Linked DNA regions of Anolis sagrei. The protein of the gene in region 1 purifies or fractionates together with the protein of each later gene. This does not show direct contact. Links are inferred from orthologs where the notes say so. Each region holds a gene or a part of one and is shown on either strand. Other genes may lie near its edges. The genes, in order: DDX20, STRAP and GEMIN2.

The links.
Region 2: the proteins of DDX20 (region 1) and STRAP purify together in Homo sapiens (affinity purification with mass spectrometry; 3 studies listed by BioGRID and IntAct, counting the BioPlex papers as one, with this or other methods). This does not show direct contact. The link is inferred for Anolis sagrei from reciprocal best matches to the Homo sapiens genes DDX20 and STRAP.
Region 3: the proteins of DDX20 (region 1) and GEMIN2 purify together in Homo sapiens (affinity purification with mass spectrometry; 6 studies listed by BioGRID and IntAct, counting the BioPlex papers as one, with this or other methods). This does not show direct contact. The link is inferred for Anolis sagrei from reciprocal best matches to the Homo sapiens genes DDX20 and GEMIN2.

Annotation. Positions count from the first base shown.
Region 1 is NC_090024.1:199,508,535-199,516,626, reverse strand, and holds the start of DDX20 (probable ATP-dependent RNA helicase DDX20), read right to left. Parts: upstream 3,102-8,092; 5' UTR 3,087-3,101; coding exon 2,822-3,086; intron 1-2,821.
Region 2 is NC_090025.1:181,634,973-181,643,047, forward strand, and holds the start of STRAP (serine-threonine kinase receptor-associated protein), read left to right. Parts: upstream 1-5,016; 5' UTR 5,017-5,218; coding exon 5,219-5,330; intron 5,331-8,075. UniProt on the Homo sapiens protein: The SMN complex catalyzes the assembly of small nuclear ribonucleoproteins (snRNPs), the building blocks of the spliceosome, and thereby plays an important role in the splicing of cellular pre-mRNAs.
Region 3 is NC_090021.1:303,554,795-303,562,101, reverse strand, and holds the start of GEMIN2 (gem-associated protein 2), read right to left. Parts: upstream 3,041-7,307; 5' UTR 2,911-3,040; coding exon 2,789-2,910; intron 289-2,788; coding exon 204-288; intron 1-203. Other genes in the region: PROSER1 (proline and serine-rich protein 1), read right to left, coding at 7,238-7,307. UniProt on the Homo sapiens protein: The SMN complex catalyzes the assembly of small nuclear ribonucleoproteins (snRNPs), the building blocks of the spliceosome, and thereby plays an important role in the splicing of cellular pre-mRNAs.

The DNA.
Region 1 (8,092 bases):
CAAAATTTGTTTTCGGAGAAGCAGACATATTATACTTATACAACAAAAACATCTAACCTTCTTAAACCATAACAAATTTATTAAACCCCCTGTTTCAGCAGCTTCACCGGCTGACAGTCTGTTTCCGGGCACAATTCAAAATGCTGTTTATGACCTTTAAAGCCTGAGACGTTTCAGGTACAGGCTATTTGGCTGACCACATCCCCTTGTACAAGCCTGCCCTGCCTTGAGATGTTTAGGAGAGGTCCCTCTCTCGGCCCCACCTCCATCTCAAGCTTGGTTGGTGGGAACATGTGGCTGCTCCACGACTCTGGAACTCCTTGCCCAGGGAAGCCAGAATGGCCCACTCCCTGCTGCTCTTCTGGCAGCAGGTTAAAACCTTTTTATTCAGACAGGCTTTTAAAGAGGCTGCTGTGGTTTTTAACTTTGAATATGTTCTAATGGATTTTAACTGTGAATTTTTAATACTGTTAGGTTTAATTCTGTTTAAATGTTTGCATATTTGTATATTTTAATTGTATGTTAATGCTTTTATGTTAAACTGCTTTGAGTCTCCTTCAGGAGAGATAAAGCAGGGTATCAATAAATATAATAACAACAAGAACAACAATAAAGATAATAATAGGTTAAGTTGTCATTACAGCAGAAGTACTGTGACTAGGACTCAGGGGTGTGTATATTTGCCATTAAGTTACCAGTTGACTTTTGGCTAAGTCATGGAGAATGACAGATTATGGGAGCTACAGTTCAAAAACATGATGGGGACCCTTTGGGAAACCCCAACACTTGAATAACCATAGATGCATTTAAAACTATAGAACTGATGCAGTCTAACGCTTCAACTGGCATGGCTCAATGTCTTCTCCACCAAACCACTCTCCTGATTCCATAGCACTAAGCCATAGCAGTTAAAGTGGTTGTCAAAGTGCATTAATTCTATAGTGTAGATGCATCCCATGTGTTTGGCAACCTCCAAAAGCTAAATAAAACCACCAATCCCACTAAGCTTCATTCCTCTGAAATGTCCTTTTCTGCAATACAAAAGTTCATGTCTTGATCTCGTTTCTGACAGTAAATGAAGAATCCATTCAATTTAGAAATTAATTACAATTTAAACTTTTCTTAAATTTTAATTTTATTTTGTTACAAATGAAGCAACCAGAGCCTTAACGAGAAGACTTCTTAAGGTTGCTATAAGTTTTTTGGGTGTATGGCCATGTTTCTGAAGCATTATTTCCTGACATTCTGCCTGCATCTATGGCAGGCATAATGTCAGGAGAGAATGCTTCTGGAACATGGCCATACAGCCGAAAATCAACCCAGTGATTCTGGGTAGGAAAGCCTTTGACAAGACTTCTTGAGTTTCCCCAGTCTGAGCAGAAAAAAAATAGCAAAGCACAGACAAGAGAGTAGGGAGGACCTGCTCTCAATCCCACCGACATCGCAAACGCAACTGGTGAGGATGAGGGACAGAGCCTTCTCAGCAGTGGCCCCCTGCCTGTGGAAAGCTCTCCCCAGAGATATCAGAGTGGCCACATCCCTTTTGTCTGTTAGAAGGAAAATCAAGACCTGGCTATAGGACCAAGCGGTTGATCAGTGAGCAACAAGTAAAAGGAGATTTTAACACTTACGGCAATGATTTGACCCAGACTGGATTTTGGACTCCAATTTTTAATAGGCGTGTGTTAATTAATTGTTTTAACTAATGTTTTTCATATTTTTCAATATGTTTAATGTACTGTTGATTGTTTTATGATGATGACACCATATGATGCTTTGTGAAGCCGCCCTCGGAAGGGTGGGATATAAATATAGGAAATAAATAAATAATAAATAAGACGCAAAAAACCCCAAAACAAACTAAGGACGCACCTCTTCTACACTGTAGACTTAAAGCAGTTTGTCACCATTTAACTACCATGGCTCAATACTATGGAATCTATATAAATAAAAATGTAATGTTCATTTGTGGGATTAACAGAACTCAAAAACCACTGGACGAATTGACACCAAATTTGGACACAAGACACCTAACAACCCAATGTATGCCCTTCACTCAAAAAAAATAATTTTGTCATTTGGGAGTTGTAGTTGCTGGGATTTATCGTCACCTACAATCAAAGAGCATTCTGAACCCCACCAACGATGGAATTGAACCAAATTCGGCAAACAGAACTCCCATGACCAACAGAAAATACTGGAAGGGTTTGGTGGGCAGTGTCCTTTGGTTTTGGAGTTGTCGTTCACCTACATCCAGAGAGCACTGTGGACTCAAACAATGATGAATCTGGATCAAACTCCACACAAATACTCAATATGCCCAAATATGAACACTGGTGAACTTTGGGGAAAATAGAATCTTGACATTTGGGAGTTGTAGTTGCTGGGATTAATAGTTCACCTACAATCACAGAGCATTCTGAACCCCACCAACGACAGAATTGGGCCAAACCTCCCACACAGAATCCCCATGTGGGCCACAGCAACGCGTGGCAGGGGACGGCTAGTCATGAATATTTTCGTTTTACATGGTCTTTAGCTCCCTATGCCAACAAAAATGCTGGTGCCTCGCCAAACTACAACTCCCTGGACCCCATAGCACTAAGCCATGGCTGTGATGCCAAACTGCATTGAATCTAGTCTAGATCAGGTATGGGCAAGCTTTGGCCCTCCAGGTGTTTTGGACTTCAACTCCCACAATTCCTAACAGCCTACCGGCTGTTAGGAATTGTGGGAGTTGAAGTCCAAAACACCTGGAGGGCCAAAGCTTGCCTATACCTGATCTAAATGCAGCCTAAGAGCCACAACGTCCTCCCCTCACCTAAACCACATCTCCCGAGAGGGATGGCTTTCAGCTGCACGGGAGAAGGCCTCAGAAACCCGGCAGCCTTCAGTCCTTCCAGCACCAGCGGGGACAGCAGCAGCGAGCTGAAGTCTTCGGGCCCTTCTTGCAAGTGAACGTCCCGGGTACGAAGCCAGCCCTCAGCGTGAGATGCTTCCACAGCCGCCATCTTGGACAGAATGCTGCCGCAAATCTCGCGAGAAGTCCGGACTAGAATGAGAGCAGGTTCTCCCCACCTCTGCATCGTCCCGCGCGGCGAACGCCAGCGAATGAGAACAAACCATTTGAGAGAGGAGGGGTGGAAGGAGGAGGAATAGCACTTTGGCGCCCAAAGGGAGGGGAGGGAGTAAACGATGGAGCCTGATTGGACAAAGATTCAGAAGGTGGGAGAAACCATTGGGCAAGCTGAAGGGGAGGGGCGTAGTTCAATCTCGTTCAAACTTGGGCTTACTGAACTGCACAGTTGAGAGAATAGGAAGCATGTGTCATAATAGCTTATTGTTATCTGTATATTTATCATCCTTGGGGCTGTAATCCTGACAGATACTGTGCAAAGTCTCTAGTAATCCGTGACATTTCCTTTTTGAATGAATGACGCACATACGAGGGTTGACTGAAAAGTAAAGCCTCCACCTTCATTACTTGGGTTTGGAGGGGAATATTTTAATAAATCAAACACAGAAAAAATTAACAAAATCTGGCTACCAGTATTTTAAAAACCCTCTAAAATTACAACAGCAAAACAACAGAGAGGAAACAATCTGGGACCTCTAATCACCTCTCAACAAAAGATTGCCCCAGGCACAGTCAGACCATTGTATGCTAATCAAGGTGGTCAGTTGAAACATTCACTGTCCCACCCTGGTCATTCCACAGATATATAAACCCTTTTTCCTAGTTCCAACAGACCTCTGAGGATGCTTGCCATAGATGCAGGCAAAATGTCAGGAGAGAATGCCTCTAGAATATGGCCATATAGCCCGAAAAAACCTACAACAACCCAGTGATTCTCGCCATGAAAGCTTTCGAAAATACAGAAATAATCCTTAGAATGTGCTCTTTAACTACCACTATTCACTTTTCCACATAATCACCAGACAATTGGATACATTTCTGCCAACGATGAACAAGTTTTCTGAAGCCGTCACAGAAGAAGTCGACACTCTGTTTGCGCAACCAGCGCCTCACAGTTCTCTCAATGTCTTCATCAGAAGCATAATGATGTTCCTGCAGATCTTTCATTATCGGGAACAGGATAGAAGTCAGACAGGGCTAAATCTGGACTGGGTTGTTGTAGGTTTTTTCGGGCTATATGGCCATGTTCTAGAGGCATTCTCTCCTGACGTTTCGCCTCAGAGGTAGTGAGGTCTGTTGGAACTAGGAAAAAGGGTTTATATATCTGTGGAATGACCAGGGTGGGACAAAGGACTTTTCTCTGCTGGAGCTTGTCCCACCCTGGTCATTCCACAGATATATAAACCCAGTTTTCCTAGTTCCACCAGATTTATGCTTGCCATAGATGCAGGCGAAACATCAGGAGAGAATGCCTCTAGAACATGGCCATATAGCCCGAAAAAACCTACAACAACCCATTGATTCTGGCCATGAAAACCTTCGACAATACATTAAATCTGGACTGTGTGGAGGATGCCATACGGTGGTGAGATCCAGCCTCTGAAGTTTCGAGTCTGTGCATTTTCATTTCAGGCATCAGCATTCTGGGTACCCATCGTGCACAGATTTTTCAATAGCCAAGCAAAGCAATAATGTGACCCACACGTTCTTGTGAATTCCGATTATGCTTGAAATTTCTCTCTGAGTTATACAACGATCATCCTGAATCAATCTGTCAACCATTTGCTTGTGAAACTCAATGGTTGCTGTCACAGGACGTCCAGCTCTTTGTTTGTCACGCAAGTCAGATTTTCCCACCTCATTACCTTTAAACTTTCTCGCCCAATGATGCACAGTACTCACATCAACACAATCACCATAAACAGCTTGCATTATTTGATGAATCTCCTTTGGGGTGACACTTTCTGCTGTCAAGAATTCAATGACTACACATTGCTTAAGTCGCATTGACCGACCATCTGCGCAGGGTTCCATTCTTCACACTTTAATAACACAACTGTTCAATGTTAAGGCTTCCCACCAAAATGGAACTGTCAAGGAGAGCCTAATGAACAAGCCAGTACCTGCCGCATACCAGTACTGCCATCTGTTGAGTTGCGAAGGTGGAGGCATTATATTTCATTGAACCCTCGTATATCTAATTGTGTGCGGGGGGAGGGGGGTGGTATTTGTTTCTAAATTATTAGCTGCCTTGAGTTCCTATAATGATGATGATGATGATGATGATGATGATAGTAATAATGGTGAATTAGAACAACACATCTATTTGGAATAAATCCATGGATATAAATCTTTCAATTCTTCTACACTGTAGAATCAATGCGGTTTTGGCACCACCAACTGCCAAGGCTCAATGCTATGGAATCAAGGGAGTTGTAGTTTGACAAGGTCTTTAACCTTCTCCTCCCCAAATTACAATTCCCAGGATTCCATAGCACTGACCCATGTCTGTTTAAAGTGGTGTCAAATTGCATCAATTCCACACTGTGGGTGGACCCCTTGTCTTCAAATAGGAATCTATAGGAATGGAATGGGCGTCCTCAAGCAAATCTTTGTCCTCTTTCTATGGCTCCTTCCACACATCTGAATTAAAATCCCACATTACCTGCTTTGAACTTGGATATATGGCAATGTGGACTCAGACAATCCAGTTCAAAGCAGATATTGTGGGTTATTCTGCCTTAATATTCTGGGTTATATGGCTGTGTGGAAAGGCACTATGTTGATTGTCCTTTTTATTATGTTCTAGGCTAGTTTGAGAACAGTTTCCAAAAAGGAGCATTTCCAAAAAGAAATAACATTCTGATTATATTGCTGGGGGGGGGGTTAAAATTTGTTGTGATATGGTAATTTGAAATAGTGGTCAGCAGTATTCTTTAGTTAAATTCTATATTAGACTCATAGAGTTAGAAAAGACCGTATGGGCCATCCACCTTAACTCCTGCCATGCAGGAAAAGCACAATCAAAGTACGCCTGACAGATGGCCATCCAGTCTCTCTTTAAAAGTTTGCAAGGACGGAGCTTCCACCACACTCCAAAACAGTTCCACTGCTGAACAGCTCTCACAGTCATGAAATTCCTCTTAATTTTCCAGTGGAATCTCCTTTCCTCTAATTTTAACCCATTGCTCCATGTTCTGAGACTACACTGCCATATATTCCAGTTCAAAGCAGGAAATGTGGGATATTATTCAGCTGTGTGGGATATTATTCAGCTGTGTCTCCAGAGCAGCAGAAAACAAGTCTCCTCCCACTTCCTTATGACATCCTTTCACATGTTTATACATGACTATCATGTCTCCTCTCAAACTTCTCTTCTGCAGGCGAAAAATACTCATCTATTTAAGGCACTCCTCATATGGCATTGCCCTCCTCTGGAGACCTCACAAGGTTTTCATTTTGAATTGCTATTCTTAGCAAATGATACTTATTAGTTACTGGTTAAAATAAATTCACATAACAAGTTTAGTTGTTGGGTTGCTGTGAGTTTTCCGGGCTGTTAATAGATATTGGAAATACTGATTCTCGCCAGAAGAGGGTGCAATCTGCATATAGGATACATCTTTTATACAGTATTGATGTTTGATGTGCAGGGAGAGTATAATTCAAAATAGTTGCTCGGCATCAAAAATAATCCCACTTCTTATTAATGAGAAGGAGTAACAAATTAACCAAGCGCATGTGAAGGCATACAAAATCAGGTGTGGTGATCGAACATTTGGAAATAAGCCACATGAATGTTGCAAGAGCAGTAGCTCAAGGAACATGCGTTATATTTCTTATGGGTAAGAATTTAGATTAACTAGTATATTTGGTTAGTCTTTGAACTATTTTATCACAACATGAAGACATCTCAGGAAATCTCATTCTTGTGTTATGGGCCTGACTCATTTTCATTTCCGGATCTACACAATCAATATATGACCTGTGTCGACCCATATAATACAGTTAAGGGCAGTTCAAACTGCATTATATGAATCTATAGTGGCCACATAATGCAATTCAGACTGCATTATTTGGTAGTGTGTATCCAGCCCAAATCATAATTTTAAACTTTTTTTCAGCCATGGTTTGCCAGAAAAGTTACAAAGAATTCAATGACTGTAAAATATAACTCTTTTCAGCTTTAGATGTAACTTTTTGCAGGAGCTCATTGAGACCTGAAAATTACATTCAAGGGTTTTTCCAGGGGAAAAGACTGGAAAAGTCCAATTTAAGACAACCAGGGTTTTGTTTGTTTTTTTAGATTATCTAAAAGTCAAAGTAAAAGCTTCTGACATGTTGGTTATGTCTGGTCCAAACTATTGTACCACATGTGTGTAGCTTGATTCATGTGTATGGACATTTTTCTCCAATTAATTTCTAGGTGTTACATTATATAGTGAAATATAACATGGACTATTGTTTTTCTTTTCTTTCACATTTTATTTCATTAAAACACTTAAACCATTCATCCTCCGTTCATACCTTCATAATGTCCTTCCTCCAATGCTTAAGCCCGTGATGGTGAACCTATGACATGCGTGTCATCATTGACACGCATGGCTATTTTGATGACACGCAGACACATGCGGCCACATACAGAGAAATAGACTTTATAAGAGCCAATCTAATTCCATCTTTCAATTTGTAAAAGGCTTTACAAATTTAACATCTGCACGTTTGAGCATTGTTCACTCCATAACTCAGCATGGATTATACATTTTTCTTATTTAAACTATAAATATTGCAAAATTATGGGGTTTTTTTCTCAAAGTGACACTCCACCCAAGTTATGCTCAGGTTTTTGGCAAATTTTGACACACCAAGCTCAAAAGGTTGCCCATCACTGGCTTAAGCAGAGGATTATCCATGCTATTTTATGAAAATGGTGTGAGGTCCTACTGAACAAGTGTGCATTACCAGGATGAGGAGGGGTTTTTTTCAGTAATGAGCAATTTTTAAATCTTCTGCATAAATTATTTTGCAGGTTTTGGTCCCCACAACAAGTTCAAAGACTTAGAAGGGATTAAACACCCATAAATCTGTTCAGGATTAGTTTTTATTTCAAAATGGGTGCAATTGTTTTTCCCCCCCGCACATAGTGAAATGTAAGCATACTGTTAAGAAGGTTGG
Region 2 (8,075 bases), on another chromosome or scaffold:
GTTTCTACTCTAGAGGAGAGGCAATGCAGGCAGGGGTGCACTTTCTCTTCTTGCAGCTTTCCAAGTCATTTTTAGGAGGCCCAGGGAAGGAAGAGCGATGACCTGGAGCTATCTAACTGTGACATTTTCAATTTTGCTGCTTTAATCTGCTCTCTTTGGGTGCACAACACTTCTTCCAGTATCCCCCACACCTTGCTTCCGTTGGTTTTTGCAAATTGAGCAGAATTCATTGATGTGAATGACAATTGTATAGAACTCAGGGTATTGATGCACAAGGAACTATTCTTAAATGAGGATATGGCAGAGGTTGTATAATGGGTCAGCTGCCAGCAAAGGTATTGCTATTGTTACAGGATCCTTATAGACATCTACTTCTGATTATAGGTCTGCATAATGTGTGACTGTGCCTAAGCATGTATGCCGCTTTGATTTCAGCAAAACGTGCTTTCAAGTTAATTTCCCCAGGAATGTAGTCACAGACTGATGGTTGCTGCCTCTTGCCAAATGTTTTTGCTAAGGCACATTTATACCAGGGCATGCTTTGGATCTCCAAGTTTTTTGAATCTCAACTACCACAGTTCCTAATAGCCTACCGGCTGTTAGGAATTGTGGAACTTGAAGTCCAAAACACTATGTCGAAGTTTGCCCAGGCCTGGTTTACTCTTTTGACCATTGCTTCTGCTAGTTTGAGATGGTTTGAGCCGCTTTCACTCTTTTGTAGTGCCATCTAGTGCTCAGTCTTATATCTGCAAGCTAGAAACATACTGAGAGTGTCCCATTTTTCAATTGATTCAGTCCGGTCCAGTCCCCAATTCTTCAAATAAGGGCCTCTTTATAGAGGGTTAGACTGGTGAACCTGGCATTATTAAGCATTTAACATTTTTGACAGAATACATAATCAATAGACAGGTTTCTGCCACCTTATGGCCTTCCAGATGTGGTTGCACCTCAATTGAAGATTGACTATGAGTGCATCCCTAGCATTGTGAAAGTTTGACAGCACTTTCACAATGCTAGGGAATCCTGGGAGTTGTAGCTTGGTGAGGCCCCAGCATTCTCTGGCAGAGAAGGCTACGGACCTTTTTAAAACTACAGCTCCCATGATTCCATAGCAGTTGAAGTGTTGCCAAACTGCATTCAATCTACAGTGTAGATCAGGCATGTACAAACTCCGGCCCTCCAGGTGTCTTGGACATCAGTTCTCATAATTCCTAACAACCTACTGTGTACAGCAGTGTTTCTCAACCTGGGGGTTGGGACCACAGGGGGGGTGTTTCAGAGGGGTCGCCAGAGACCATCAGAAAACATTTTGTTTGATGGTCTTAGGAAGCTCTTTGGCAGAGAAGGCAGAAGATCTCTCAGTCTGTCCTTCTCTTCCTTTTTCTTCCCACCAAAAGCCCTCCTCCTGCTGTGATTGGCTGGCTTCTCAGCCAAGGGGAGGGCTGTTTCCGTGACTCCAAGGGGAGAGGGGAGAGCAGGCGTGCTCTCCCTTAAATTATTGTCAATTCCTCCCAAATCCCTCCAGTATTTTCTATTGGTCATGGGGGTTCTGTGTGGGAAGTTTGGCCCATTTCTATCATTGGTAGGGTTCAAGTAGTCTAAACATCCCGTTTAGACTACTGCAACGCTCTCTATGTGGGGTTGCCCTTGAAGACAGCCCGGAAGCTTCAATTGGTCCAACGTGCGGCAGCCATGTTACTAACAGGAGCGGGACGCAGGGAGCATACAACGCCCTTGTTGTACCAGCTCCACTGGCTTCCGATTTGCTACCGGGCTCAATTCAAGGTGCTGGCGTTGGCCTATAAAGCCCTAAACGGTTCCGGCCCAAGATACCTATCTGACCGCATCTCGGCCTACGAGCCCACCAGGACTTTGAGATCATCCGGGGAGGCCCTGCTCTCGATCCCGCCTGGCGGGGACGAGAGACAGGGCCTTCTCGGTGGTGGCTCCTTGGCTGTGGAACACCCTTCCCGTGGACATCAGACTGGCTCCTTCCCTGATGATATTCCGCAGGAAATTAAAAACTTGGCTGTTCAAGAAAGTGTTCGAACAAGAAGTGCAATAATTGGTAATGACGACAGGAATGGAACAACGGAAAATGATACTGGATTGTGGTTTAAACGATGAGACGACATGAATGGCTTTTTGTATTATTGATATTGTTGATGTTTTTGATGATGATGTCTTTGGTTATTGCTAGATTGATATTTTAGATTGCGTCTTGACTTTTAAACCTTGTTCTTTCTATGTTGTACACCGCTGTGAGTCGACCCCAGGCTGAGAACAGCGGTATATAAGCAAAGTAAATAATAATAAATAAATAATAAATAAATAACTGCAACTCCCAAATGACAAAAGCATTATTTTTTGAGTGATGGTCACTCCTTGTGTTGTGAGACATTTTGTTGCCAAATTTGGTGTGATTTCGTTCATTGGTTCTTTTGTTTTTAAGGTACACATTATGCACAGAGCATTTTTTAATATATAGATATTGTAATTGTGTCCTTGGTGGCAATGAATTGCCTTGTAAATCGCCTTGAGTCGCCGGAAGGCTGAGAGGGGCGGTATAGAAATGTACTAAATAAATAAATAAAATAAATAAGTCCAAAGAAACCTGGAAGGACGAAGTGTTCCCGTGCCTGATCTACACTGTAGATTGAATGCAGTTTGGCACCTCGAGTCTTTTTTAAAAAAAGCAAGGCTGCATCTCTCCTCAGATTTTGTTGCCTCAGAAACGACGGAGCGGCCTAACAAGATCCCTACTGTAGACTACTTCAACCAGAGAAGTCAGCCATAGCAGAGCACCTGATGAACCAGCCTGGACACAGCATATTATTTGAGAACACGGAAATGCTGGACCACTCTCACAACCACCATGCCAGGCTACACAGAGAAGCCACTGAAATCCACAAGCATGTGGACAATTTCAGCAGAAAGGAGGAAACCATGAAGATGAACAAAATCTGGCTACCAGTATTAAAAAACTCTAAAATTAGAACAGCACAACAACAGAGAGGAAACAAACAAGGACATCTAATAATCTCTCAGCAAAAGATTGCTCCAGGCACTGCCAGACAAGGCAGTCATAGCTAACGTCTACATGGAACACTTTGAAGAACAAGCCCTGGAAACAGCAACCAAAAAGCCCACGATATGGTTCAGATATGTGGATGACACCTTCACCATTTGGAGCCATGGAGAAAAAGAACTCAACAGGTTCCTGGACCATCTTAACAGCATCCACCCAAACATCCAGTTCACCATGGAAAAAGAAAATGAAGGAAGACTGCCTTTTCTAGATGTCCTAGTCATCCGCAGACCAGATCAACAATTGGGTCACACCGTCTACAGAAAACCCACACACACAGATAGATATCTATATAAAAACTCCAACCATCACCCAAGTCAAAAAAGAAACACCATTAAAGCCTTGGCAGACCGTGCAAAAAAAATCTGCGAACCCCACCTCCTCCAAGATGAACTGAACCACCTCAACTGGGCTCTCCAGGCCAATGGAGACTCCACCTCAGACATCAGAAGAGCTGCAAGACCAAGAACAAGCCACAAGAGTAAAGATGAAGATCCACCCAGAGGAAAAGTGTTCCTGCCATACATCAAGGGAACCACTGATCGCATAGGAAAGCTGATGAGGAAACACAACATACAAACAATCTACAAACCCACCAAGAAAATCCAACAAATGCTACGTTCAGCAAAGGACAAGAGGGATCCTCTCACCTCTGCAGGAGTCTACCGTATACCATGCAGCTGTGGACAAGTCTACATAGGGACCACCAAACGCAGCGCCCAGACATGCATCAAGGAACATGAAAGGCACTGCAGATTACTTCAACCAGAGAAGTCAGCCATAGCAGAGCACCAGATGAACCAGCCTGGACACAGCATATTATTTGAGAACACAGAAATGCTGGACCACTCCAACAACCACCATGTCAGACTACACAGAGAAGCCACTGAAATCCACAAGCATGTGGACAATTTCAACAGAAAGGAAGAAACCATGAAAAGGAACAAAATCTGGCTACCAGTATTAAAAAACTCTAAAATTACTACAGCAAAACAGCAGAGAGGAAACAACCAGGCACATCTTAACACCTCTCAACAGGGTATTTTCCCAGGCTCAGCCAAGACTTCAAATGCTAATGAAGGTGATCAGCTGAAACATTCACACCTAGCTCCAGCAGAGAAGCGCTCTTTGCCCCACCCCAGCCATTCCACAGATATATGTCCTAATTCCAACAGACCTCACTACCTCTGAGGATGCTTGCCATAGATGCAGGCGAAACGTCAGGAGAAAATGCCTCTAGAACATGGCCCTATAGCCCGAAAAAACCCACAAGACCCTAGTGATTCTAGCCATGAGAGGCTGGATGGCCATCTGTCGGGGGTGCTTTATTTATTTATTTATTTATTTATTTGATGCACTTATTAACCGCCATTCTCAGCCCTTACGGGCGACTCATGGCGGTGTACAGTACACATAAAAAGACAGTTACAAAGGCCAGTATCAACAACATATAACTATACGACAAATACAAACTACATAAAAATCCGCTTCGTCTCTTAGTAGAATCATAGCCAGTCTCATCTTCCTTATACCATTCCAGTTCTCATTACCGTAATGTTGTTGCTTAGCACTTAATTAAATGCCCTCTCGAACAGCCAGGTCTTAAGGCTTTTTCGAAAGGACATGAGGGAGGGCGCCTGTCTGATGTGTGCCGGGAGAGTGTTCCACAGCCGGGGGGCCACCACCGAGAAGGCCCTCTCCCTCGTCCCCGCCAATATTCCTCTTTCTAGGCAGGGGGCTGGACTGGATAACCCATGAGGTCTCTTCCAACTCTAGGATTCTATGAAGAGCTTGGCGATGACGTCACTTCCGCTCTGCAGCCCTTTAAGAATAAGCTTTCCATGCCTCTCCCCTCCCGGGACAGGAAACCGGAAGCGGCTCTATGGTTTCCTAGGCGGCGGCGGCGGCTCAGCACTTCCGGCGACGGCCATTTTTCTCCCCTCCTGAGTTCACTTCCGTTGCCGGCGTGCCGTCGTCTCCCTCTCGTCGTCAGCGGCTCGGCCTTTCCCGTGGCTTTGAGGGAGCCAGCGAGGGTCGCCTTCCTCTGCCTCTCTCAGCGGCCTCTTTCCTCCTCCAGACCCCGCCGCTTCCCTTCTTCGTCCACCCTCTGCTTCCCTTCCTTCGGCCGCCATGGCGATGCGACAGACGCCGCTGACGTGCTCGGGCCACACGCGGCCTGTGGTGGACTTGGCCTTCAGCGGCATCACCCCCTACGGCTACTTCCTCATCAGTGCTTGCAAAGGTGAGCCTCCTGGGGGTGTGGGGGAGCTCCTGAAGGCAGTTTGACACCACTTCAACTGCCATGACTCAATAATATAGGATTCTGGGGTTTTGTGGTTTCTCAAGGCTTTTAGTGCTGGTGCCTCACCAAACTACAACTCCCATGACTCCTTAGCGTTGAGCCATGACAGCAAAAATGATGCCAAGTTGTATTCATTCCATGTATTGTCGAAGGCTTTCATGGCTGGAATCACTAGGTTCCTGTGGGTTTTTTCGGGCTATAGGGCCATGTTCTAGAGGCATTTCTCCTGATGTTTCGCCTGCATCTATGGCACGCATCCTCAGAGGTAGTGAGGTCTGTTGGCATTAGGACAATGGTTTATATATCTGTGGAATGGCTGGGGTGGGGCAAAGAGCTCTTCTCTGCTGGAGCTAAGTGTGAATGTTTCAACTGACCACCTTCATTAGCATTTGAAGGCCTGGCTGAGCCTTCATTCATTCCGCTGTATTCATTCATTCTGCTGTATTCTGTATTCATTATGCTGTGTAGATCAGACATGGGCTAACTTGGGTCCTTCGGGTGTTTTGGACTTCAACTCCCACAATTTTTAACAGCTCGCTGTTAGGAATTGTGGGAGTTGAAGTTGAAAACACCCGGAGGGGCCAACGTTTGCCCATGCCTGCCCTAAGTGCTACATAAATAGGAAAACAACAACAATAAGAAAACTTTATTTATACCCCACCACCAAATCCCCAAGGGACTCGGGGTGGCTTACATGAGGCCAAGCTCAACAACACATCAATACAAGAAAGCAATACACAAAAACAATACAATAGTATACAATTAATATAAATAGCATATAAACAATAAGCAATAACACACAAGGATTTAAAAACCTATGGTCGGGCCAAATGCAATAGTTTAAAATTTAAAAAATAAACACTGGGCATGAACAAGGTAAGATATATCTGGTAAGGTGAGGGGAGCGCAATCCAACCCAATCCAATAGTTAAAGTGCAATCTGAGGACATATTGCTGATTCAGTGATTTCAAACTACAATGGTTTCAAACTACAAACAATAAGAACAAGTCAGGAAAATGCAAATTATTATTATTATTATTATTATTATTATTATTTTCTATCCTGCTTTTCTCCCAATTGGGACTCAAACATGTAACAAAAAACATTTCAAAGCATTATTATTATTATTATTGTTATTATTAACTTTATTTGTACCCTGCTAACATCTCCCGAATGACTCGGTGCAGCTTACAAAGGCCAAGGCCCGCTATATCTCTATATATACAGATAGAGATAAAAATAAGCATTATCATCACACCGCAAACATGTCTAATAAAAATATAAATACATAGTAAATAGATAACATGACACAGTTTAAACATTCAAAAAAGTTTTTTAAAAAAAACCACACCTGATATCCATTCCTATGCTGTAGTCAAGTCCATTGCCGGAAGTTCATTAAAATGTATACATTGCACAGATGAATCTGTTGTTTTCAATATCCCTCTCCTTCAGGGAAGATCTGCTTCCATAGAAATTTAGATCCCTAAATGAAAGCAAGGAGGGAGACATTCTAACCTCTTTAGGAAAAGAGTTCCAGAGTCTTGGGTACACCTCTGAAAAGGCCCACTCTCTTGTTCCCACCAATTGCACTTGAGACAGAGGCAGGACCGAGAGCAGGATCTCTCCCGAGAACCTCAGGGCACATGTAGTTTCATAGGAGAAGATGCGGTCAGCTAAGTAAGTTGGGTTCGAACTGTTAAATTGCAGAAAAATTGAACAAAACAACAACTATGGAGGAACCACTTTTTACAGGGTGTATTCCTGCTAACTAATAATAAAAATCGTCATAACAACTTTATTTTTTATATCCTTCCACCATCTCCACAAAGGGAGCGGCTTACTAGTGGGACGAAACCCAACACAACAGGGTTTATCACTAAAAATACATTTAAAACATAATAAACTTAATAATTCAATTAAATATTTAAAAACAACTATGAACTGAATCAAAACAAATGTCACTAACCAGAACCAGGAATAAGATGGGCAGGATCAAAAATTAGCGAGTGCTGGACATGGACTTGTACAAATAGCAGATTATAGGGCCAGGGCTGTGGAAAAGTGCTGAGTTCACTCTAATGGACAATTGAGGCTGGGCGTTCATGGACAGGGGCCTAATCATTCTCAAACACACATTGGAACATCCAGGTTTTAAGGTCTTTACGGAAGGTGGACAGATTGGGTGCCAGTCTAATCTCCTGAGTCCCCTTCCGGGGGTTGAGAAGGGTGGGGCAAAAATGCTGTAAATAAATAAAGCCGGAGGACCACCACCGAGAAGGCCCTCTCCCTCATCCCCACAAACAACAGTGCTGGATTGTTGCTTATAAATCCCCAATTCATTTGCCCCTTTGTCTGCTTAAAATATCTGATATGTCTGGTTAGAAATGAGCCATGGTCATTCATAACTAAGTTACATGTGTTACAACAGCTCTACTCCAGATATGACAACCACTAGTTTTTGCCTATGGTTATGAACAACATGTATAAAATACTTACTTTAATAATAATAATAAGAAGAAGCTTTATTTATATCCCGCCCTCTCTCCCCAAAAGGACTCGTGGCTTATAATAGAAGAAACACAATGTAGTAATAGTAAACATACAATCAAATCAAACTTTCAAAACAATATAATTAAAGCATAAAACACTATTAACATAGTAATAAAATTCAGAAGGGTGTC
Region 3 (7,307 bases), on another chromosome or scaffold:
TCTAGACTCATTCCATTTGAATTGTGCAAAGTATACGTACAGTCCTTCAAAAGTATTTTAGAAACTAAACAGATGGGGTCAGGTGAACACACCCTGAAACTGTCTGATGTTAAAAATGACTATAAGCACATTCAGAAGCTTCTCACTAATGAAGTAGCTCCATTGAGAAGCTTATTAATTCTTTTCTTTTAAAAACAACTTACTGAAATATTTACAGTCTGTTTCTTTTTCAACTTCTTGGGATCTATTTGGGCCACAACAACATCAGGACAATTTGCAGCTTCAATTCTACAAAAGAAGAACAGATGTCTGAAATTTGAAATACTTAGTAATTTCAAGAGAAGTATAGCATATGTATTATACAGGAATCCCTCTACTGTCACCTACTATAACTACTCATGAATATCATCAGAATCTTGACTACTCTTTTCCCACAATTTTTTTTGCTAGGTATCACAGAGAAGATACAGTAGTGAAAACACTTTGGAAAAATGACATTTTTAATCGAAACACGTAATGGACCATGAGAAATAAATAATATATCACTGAATATCTTCAGAACCATTCCAACATACACTCTCTGACTTCATAGGTTTTTAAAAAAGACTGATAAGAAATCAATCAAGTGCTACTTTCCTCATAGTTCTTTCCATAGTAAGAAAAGTGTCATCTCTTAAAAATTGTATGCCAGCTCATTGCATTGGTAAGTACTTTCAAAGGTCTGATTTTTAGATGTTCAGGTCAACCTATTCTTTAAATTCTAGCTCTTAACATTCTTCTATCCTTGAAAACAAAACAAGATGTTAAATTCCCAAATCAAAGAGACAAAACTGGTGAATACGTTTCCTTCTTCCCACTTTCAGAATGAATATGTATTTATTTATTTAAACCTTCATTTTTCATTGGTTTTAATTACAACTTTGCATACTGCTTGGTGAGGTAAAGTTTTCAGGACAGGAAGATGTCAAGCATGAAGGATGTATTTTGCTTTCTGTTAGAACTCTAAGATCCATCAACTACAGCCATGCGCAAGATAGTGATGTGGGGAAAAATATATAACACAAAGCAAAATAACAAAGTGCCATGACACCTTAATTATTATTAACACAATTTATTTGGCATAAACTTTTGTGGATTACAGATGCATCCAATGAAATGGGTTGCTCTTCTTCACAAAAGATTATGTGAAATGTAACACTTTTGTTTTTAAGGAGCCATGTGTCTTCTTGACTGTTTTTTTCATTTTTGTTTCTAGCCAATTGGTTCATAAGGGAAGAGCACATGTACATATCCATCCTAAAAAGAAGCACACTACAGATTATTAGGAGAGCAAAATCAGGAAATTCCTTGAAATTGACAGATGCTGACAGAACGAAACTCAACTATTCATTATTCCCTCTATCTCAGTGGTCCTCAATCTGTGGGTCCCCAGATGCTTTGGCCTTCAACTCCAGATATCCTAACAGCTGATAAACCAGCTGGGATTTCTGGGAGTTGTAGGCCAAAACACCAGAAGACTTAACAGGATGAGAACCACTGCTCTAGCTGAAGTCCCATTAGCCATCTTAAGAACTGACATTGAATTGTTGACATATCAAGAGATGAAAGGAAAGTCTGAAGGTGAATAATGCATATTTAATTAGGACAGATGGACAGACTCAATTAAAGAAGCCATGAACTTGAATCTGCAAGACCTAAGCAGAGCTGCCGATAACAGGGTGGCTTGGGGAGCATCTGCACTGCAGAATCAATGCAGTTTGATACCACCAGAATTATGTTGGCTTCATGCTATGGAATCATGGAAACTGCACCTTCACAAGGTATTTAGCCTTATCTGCTAAAGACCAAACTACAACTCCCATGGGTTCCATAACATTGTCATGACATTTAAAGCAGTATCAAGTAAAGATAGGTAAAGGTTTTTCCCTGACATTAAATCCAGTTGTGTCTGACTCTGGGGTGTGGTGCTCATATCCATTTCTAAGCCAAATAGCCGGCGTTGTCCGTAAACACCTCACAGGCCATGTGGCTGGCATGACTGCAAGGAGCCGTTACCTTCCCACCAGAGCAGTACCTATTGATCTACTCACATTTTGCATGTTTTCAAACTGCTAGGTTGGCAGAAGCTGGGGCTAACAGCAGGTGCTCACGCCACTCCCCGGATTTGAACCTGCAACCTTTTGGTCAACAAGTTCAGCAGCTCAGTGCTCTAACCCACTGCACCATTGGGGCTGGTATCAAACTGTTTCAATTATGCTGTGTAGCTGTCCCTTTGGAGATCTCTCATTCACAGGGTTGCCTTAAATCGCAGTTGACTTGTTGACTTTTACAGCAATGATAAGAGTTGCCAAATTAAAAATGGGTAATGACTTCTTTGGGGGAAAGAGAGCAATTTAGCAGGTGCTGTTTTTCATGTAACCTGGTCACAAGCAACCAATGCTGAAAGTGCGCAAGAATTCTGGGATTTGTAGTTCTGCGAGCTATTTAGCCGTCTTCCAACAGGAAGCTCTGGTGCCTAATCAAACTACAAATCTACAGCATGGAGTCATGGGAGTTAAAGCCATGTCAAACTGCTATAAGTAGGCATGGGCAAACTTGGGCCTTCCAGGTGTTTTGGACTTCAACTCCCACCATTCCTAACAGCCTCAGGTCCTTTCCTTTCCCCCCTCAGCCGCTTAAGGAAAGGGCCTGAGGCTGTTAGGAATGGTGGGAGTTGAAGTCCAAAACACCTGGAAGGCCCAAGTTTGCCCATGTCTAACTGTCTCGGCGGCCTAGGCGCCCCACTTACTGGACCCGCTTTAAGTACTCCTGGGGCGTCCTGGGGGGCACTGTGGGGTCGAAATCCTCCGTGAGATCGCAGTCCCCCACTGGAAGGAGCCGAGGCATCAGTTCCTCCACCCCAGACTCCATGGCAGCCCCTGAAGCACAGTCTCCCTTGTTATTATTGTTGCTGCTGCCAAAGCTCTTCCTCCCTCAGGCCGCTCTGGAGTCTGGGGCTTATCCTACACACTCCGCCGTCAGGCAAACCGAATGCGCATGCGCACACAGCCACTCCGCGCGACAAGGCTGAAAAGCGTTCTCTTGGTGCTTTACGGCTGCCACAGGGAGAGGATGTTGTGACAGCCATTTAGCTGCTTTCCTCCTCTCCACTCCGTCCTACAACTGAGGGTTTAGTGGCAGAAATACTCTGAAGGAATTAAATAAATGGCTGAGGTAGGGAATAACGTAGTAATCTCATTTCTGAACATTTTATTGTTTACACTTTAGGGGGTATATAAGTGCAATAAAATAAATGAATATATTTTGATGGAATAGTGCTTTAGAATCATAGAATCAAAGAGTTGGAAGAGATCTCATGGGTCATCCAGTCCAACCCCCTGCCAAGAAGAAGGAATATTGCATTCAAATCACCCCTGACAGATGGCCATCCAGCCTCTGCTTAAAAGCTTCCAAAGAAGGAGCCCCCACCACACAAAATTATGTAGTACATAATTTTTCAGAAATTTGTAAAACATGTCAGTACAAATACTACATATTTATCTAGCACAGATTGAATAGCCCTTTTCTGGAAATCCCAAATGCTCCAAAACTAAAAAAATGCTTACAAAGCTGGCTAAAATAGTGACATTTTTGCCTTCTAAAGACTGTGTATAAAATTTCCTTCAGGTTACATGTATAAGGTGTATGTGAAACATCCATAAATCTCCAAGATCTCGTCTGTAGAAAAATATCCCCAAAATAAAATAAAAAAAACCAAAATCCCGAACATACCAGGTCTCAAGCATTTCAGATAAGGGATATTCAACCTATAAGGATGTTCTGAATTCTGCCTTTCAAAAATAATTATGTGGGTTTTCAATTAATACTAAAACATATTGTAGTTCTGAGAGCTATTTAGTCGTCTTCCATCAGGAAGTTCTGGTGCCCCATCAAACTACAAGTTAAACATGAGCCAACAATGTGATGTGGCGGCAAAAAAAGCCAATGGGATTTTGGCCTGCATCAATAGAAGCATAGTGTCTAGTCTAGATCTAGGGAAGTAATGCTACCCCTCTATTCCGCTTTGGTTAGACCACACCTGGAATACTGTGTCCAATTCTGGGCACCACAATTCAAGAGACATATTGACAAGCTGGAATGTGTCCAGAGGAGGGTGACTAAAATGATCAAGGGTGTGGAGAACAAACCCTATGAGGAGCGGCTTAAGGAGCTGGGCATGTTTAGACTGAAGAAGAGAAGGCTGAGAAGAGATATGATAGCCATGTATAAATATGTGAGAGGAAGCCACAGGGAGGAGGGAGCAAGCTTGTTTTCCGTTTCCCTGGACGCGGAACAATGGCTTCAAACTACAAGAAAGGAGATTCCATCTGAACATGAGGAAGAACTTCCTGACTGTGAGAGCCGTTCAGCAGTGGAACTCTCTGCCCCGGAGTGTGGTGGAGGCTCCTTCATTGGAAGCTTTTAAACAGAGGCTGGATGGCCATCTGTCAGGGGTGCTTTGAATGCAATATTCCTGCTTCTTGGCCTGGATGGCCCATGAGGTCTCGTCCAACTCTTTCATTCTATAATTGTGGGTTGTCTCTCTTAATGATAAAATTTTTAAATTTAAATATATTTTGACCTGAATTATATTTGATATTGTTGTATATTGTTGGTACTTACTTGAGGTATAGGATGTTTGCCTTTTTTGTAGGTAAAGTGGCCTGAGTTCCTTCAGGGAGAGGGTGGCCTAAGTATTATTATTATTATTATTATTATTATTATTAAAGTATATGAAATACTGCATTTTCCCCTGCTTAAGCCATATCCCTTCTGGCCTTTTTGTGCCATTGGCTGACTAGAAAAAATGGGCCCTGGACAAGCAGAAATTAGCCACCTTTCACCTACAATATATTTTCAAATTCTCAGAACAAAAGTGCAGGTGTAGCTACATCCCATTTTCAGATTTCACTCGTATTATTATGCAGTTCCCCAAAAGTATCCCAGTAGCAATGATTCTACCCCAATGTAGCTTAAAACAGCGTACTAACAAACACGAAGGAGCCCTTGGTAGCGCAGTGGGTTAAACCACTGAGCTGCTAAACTTGCTGACGGAAAGGTTGCAGGTTCGAATCCGGGGAGCGGCTTGAGCTCCTGGTTAGCCCCAGTTTCTGCCAATCTAGCAGTTCAAAAACATGCAAATGTGAGTAGATCAATAGGTACCGCTCCGGCGGGAAGGTAACGACGCTCCATGCAGTCATTCTGGCCACATGACCTTGGAGGTGTCTACGGAATACACAGGCTCTTCGGCTTAGAAATGGCGATGAGCAGCAATCCCCAGAGTCGGACACGACTGGACTTAATGTCAGGGAAGACCTTTAACCTTAATAATCATGATCTGAAAACGATCACTTTTATCTTTCTTAAAATGAAGTATTCCACAAAAATGGTAAAGTAGCCTACTCCAGTTAAAAAGTGAAATTGGTACAGAACACTGGGGGGAAGATTTCTTTTTGAATCATTTTACACTATAAAACACTTATATTTACCCTGGACGAAAATCTGAGTTCAATTTGACCTGCATCTCATATAATTATTTATTTAAGCCATTTCTTTGGTTCTTACCTCTGTGGAATATTTAGAAGCTACATAAAAACCAGTAGCAATTCATAAAAACAACTGAATTTCAGTATTTTATAAAGGACCCCTTCCCTGAGACTTATTTCAGTTATTTCACCACACATAGATATGCCTACATAACAGAGATTGTGTAAATAATTGTTTATTTGGGTCTAATTTAGAAACATGTGTACCACTGCTTCACAATTTATTTTAAAAACTTTATAAAAATAACAGATATATACACATTAGTGTTCTTCATGCCTGTTCAGTTTTGGAAAGCCTCAACATTAGTAATACTATTCAACAGACTTTCATCTTTACAGGGAAATGTTAAGCTATGCACCGCAATAAAAATAAGAGTTCACATTCAAAACACAAAATCAAGTATCATCGCTGTACTGCAGATCTAGAACAAGACTTTCTTAAAGAGAGATAATATTGGGAGTTTTTTTCCTACTCATCACTAAATATACTAAACAGAATAAAGCACTTTCACCGACACAGCGAGACCATATTTTGCATTGCATAATTCCTAACTAGCATGAGAAACTGGTTTGAATATCCTTGATTATAATGGTATCTGGCCTAAATTTGTTACTGGGGGAGGAATGAACCGAACATGCAGCTCCAGCTGTGTTCAAGCCTGCCTAATAATTACAATTGCATTTTCCAAGCTTAACCACAAAATTCATTCTTACATGACTACAAAACATTTTTGGGTTAGTTCTACACTTTCAAGAAAATGTGAACTTGATGCATAAAATCAGCAGGCTTTGACGTATTGGTGGCAGCATAATTGATGCACTGCCAATGCTTTTGAAGATAAGACTAAAATAAACAAGTTAATTACAGAATAAAACCCATGATCTGTAAGGTACAGCTTGTAATGACCTAAATGTGCACTCAATTCGGATTTGCCCAAAGTTTAAAAACATACAGTACGTCTCTATAGTAGAAATCCAGTCATTCTAGAAGGATAAATGAATACTGAAAGGTGGTAGGGGTAAATAGGGACTAAGGGGATAAATATTAATTTCAGTGACAAATATCTGAATGAACATTGACATGAAGTTAGTGAGAAACAAGATATTGGAAGAGCAGGACTAGAGTTGATCCTGTATGCCCATGCGGGATGTTTTGAACAGTGTGATTTCTCAGCCTGTATAAAGAAGAAATAAATAGTCTTGGAGCCCTGCTCTAAAATTACTTTTTATAAAAAACATATACCATGTACATACTGAAAAGTTCATATCCTGAATCATGTGTTGGGACAGTGATGACCTAGCAAAAATTGATTTTTAAAATAAAATAAACCCTGACATAATGCTTGTATTTTAAAAAATCCCATAAAGATCCAAAACCCTTGACTCCTACCTAAAAAGGAATGAATGAAGCTCACTGCTTCATAAGGGTACTGATTAAAAATATTATTGTTTGTTTTCTTTAAAAATTCAGGATTTGGGTATCCTGCCTGAAATAGTTATTTGGAATTCTTCTTCTCTTCCTCTTGATTGCGACACATAGAAGTCAGTAGATTTTGCCAAAGCCTTCAATGGAAGCATCATCAGTGGATTTGCCAAACTACCACAGCAGTCTTCAAGAAAAGGTTGCTCCCTGTAGGTAAAATGGATGTTGTTTATTGCCATCCACTCTGGGGAAGACTTGTTTGCAATGAAAAGGGTGTCCCGGGAGTTCCTGGTGCAGCA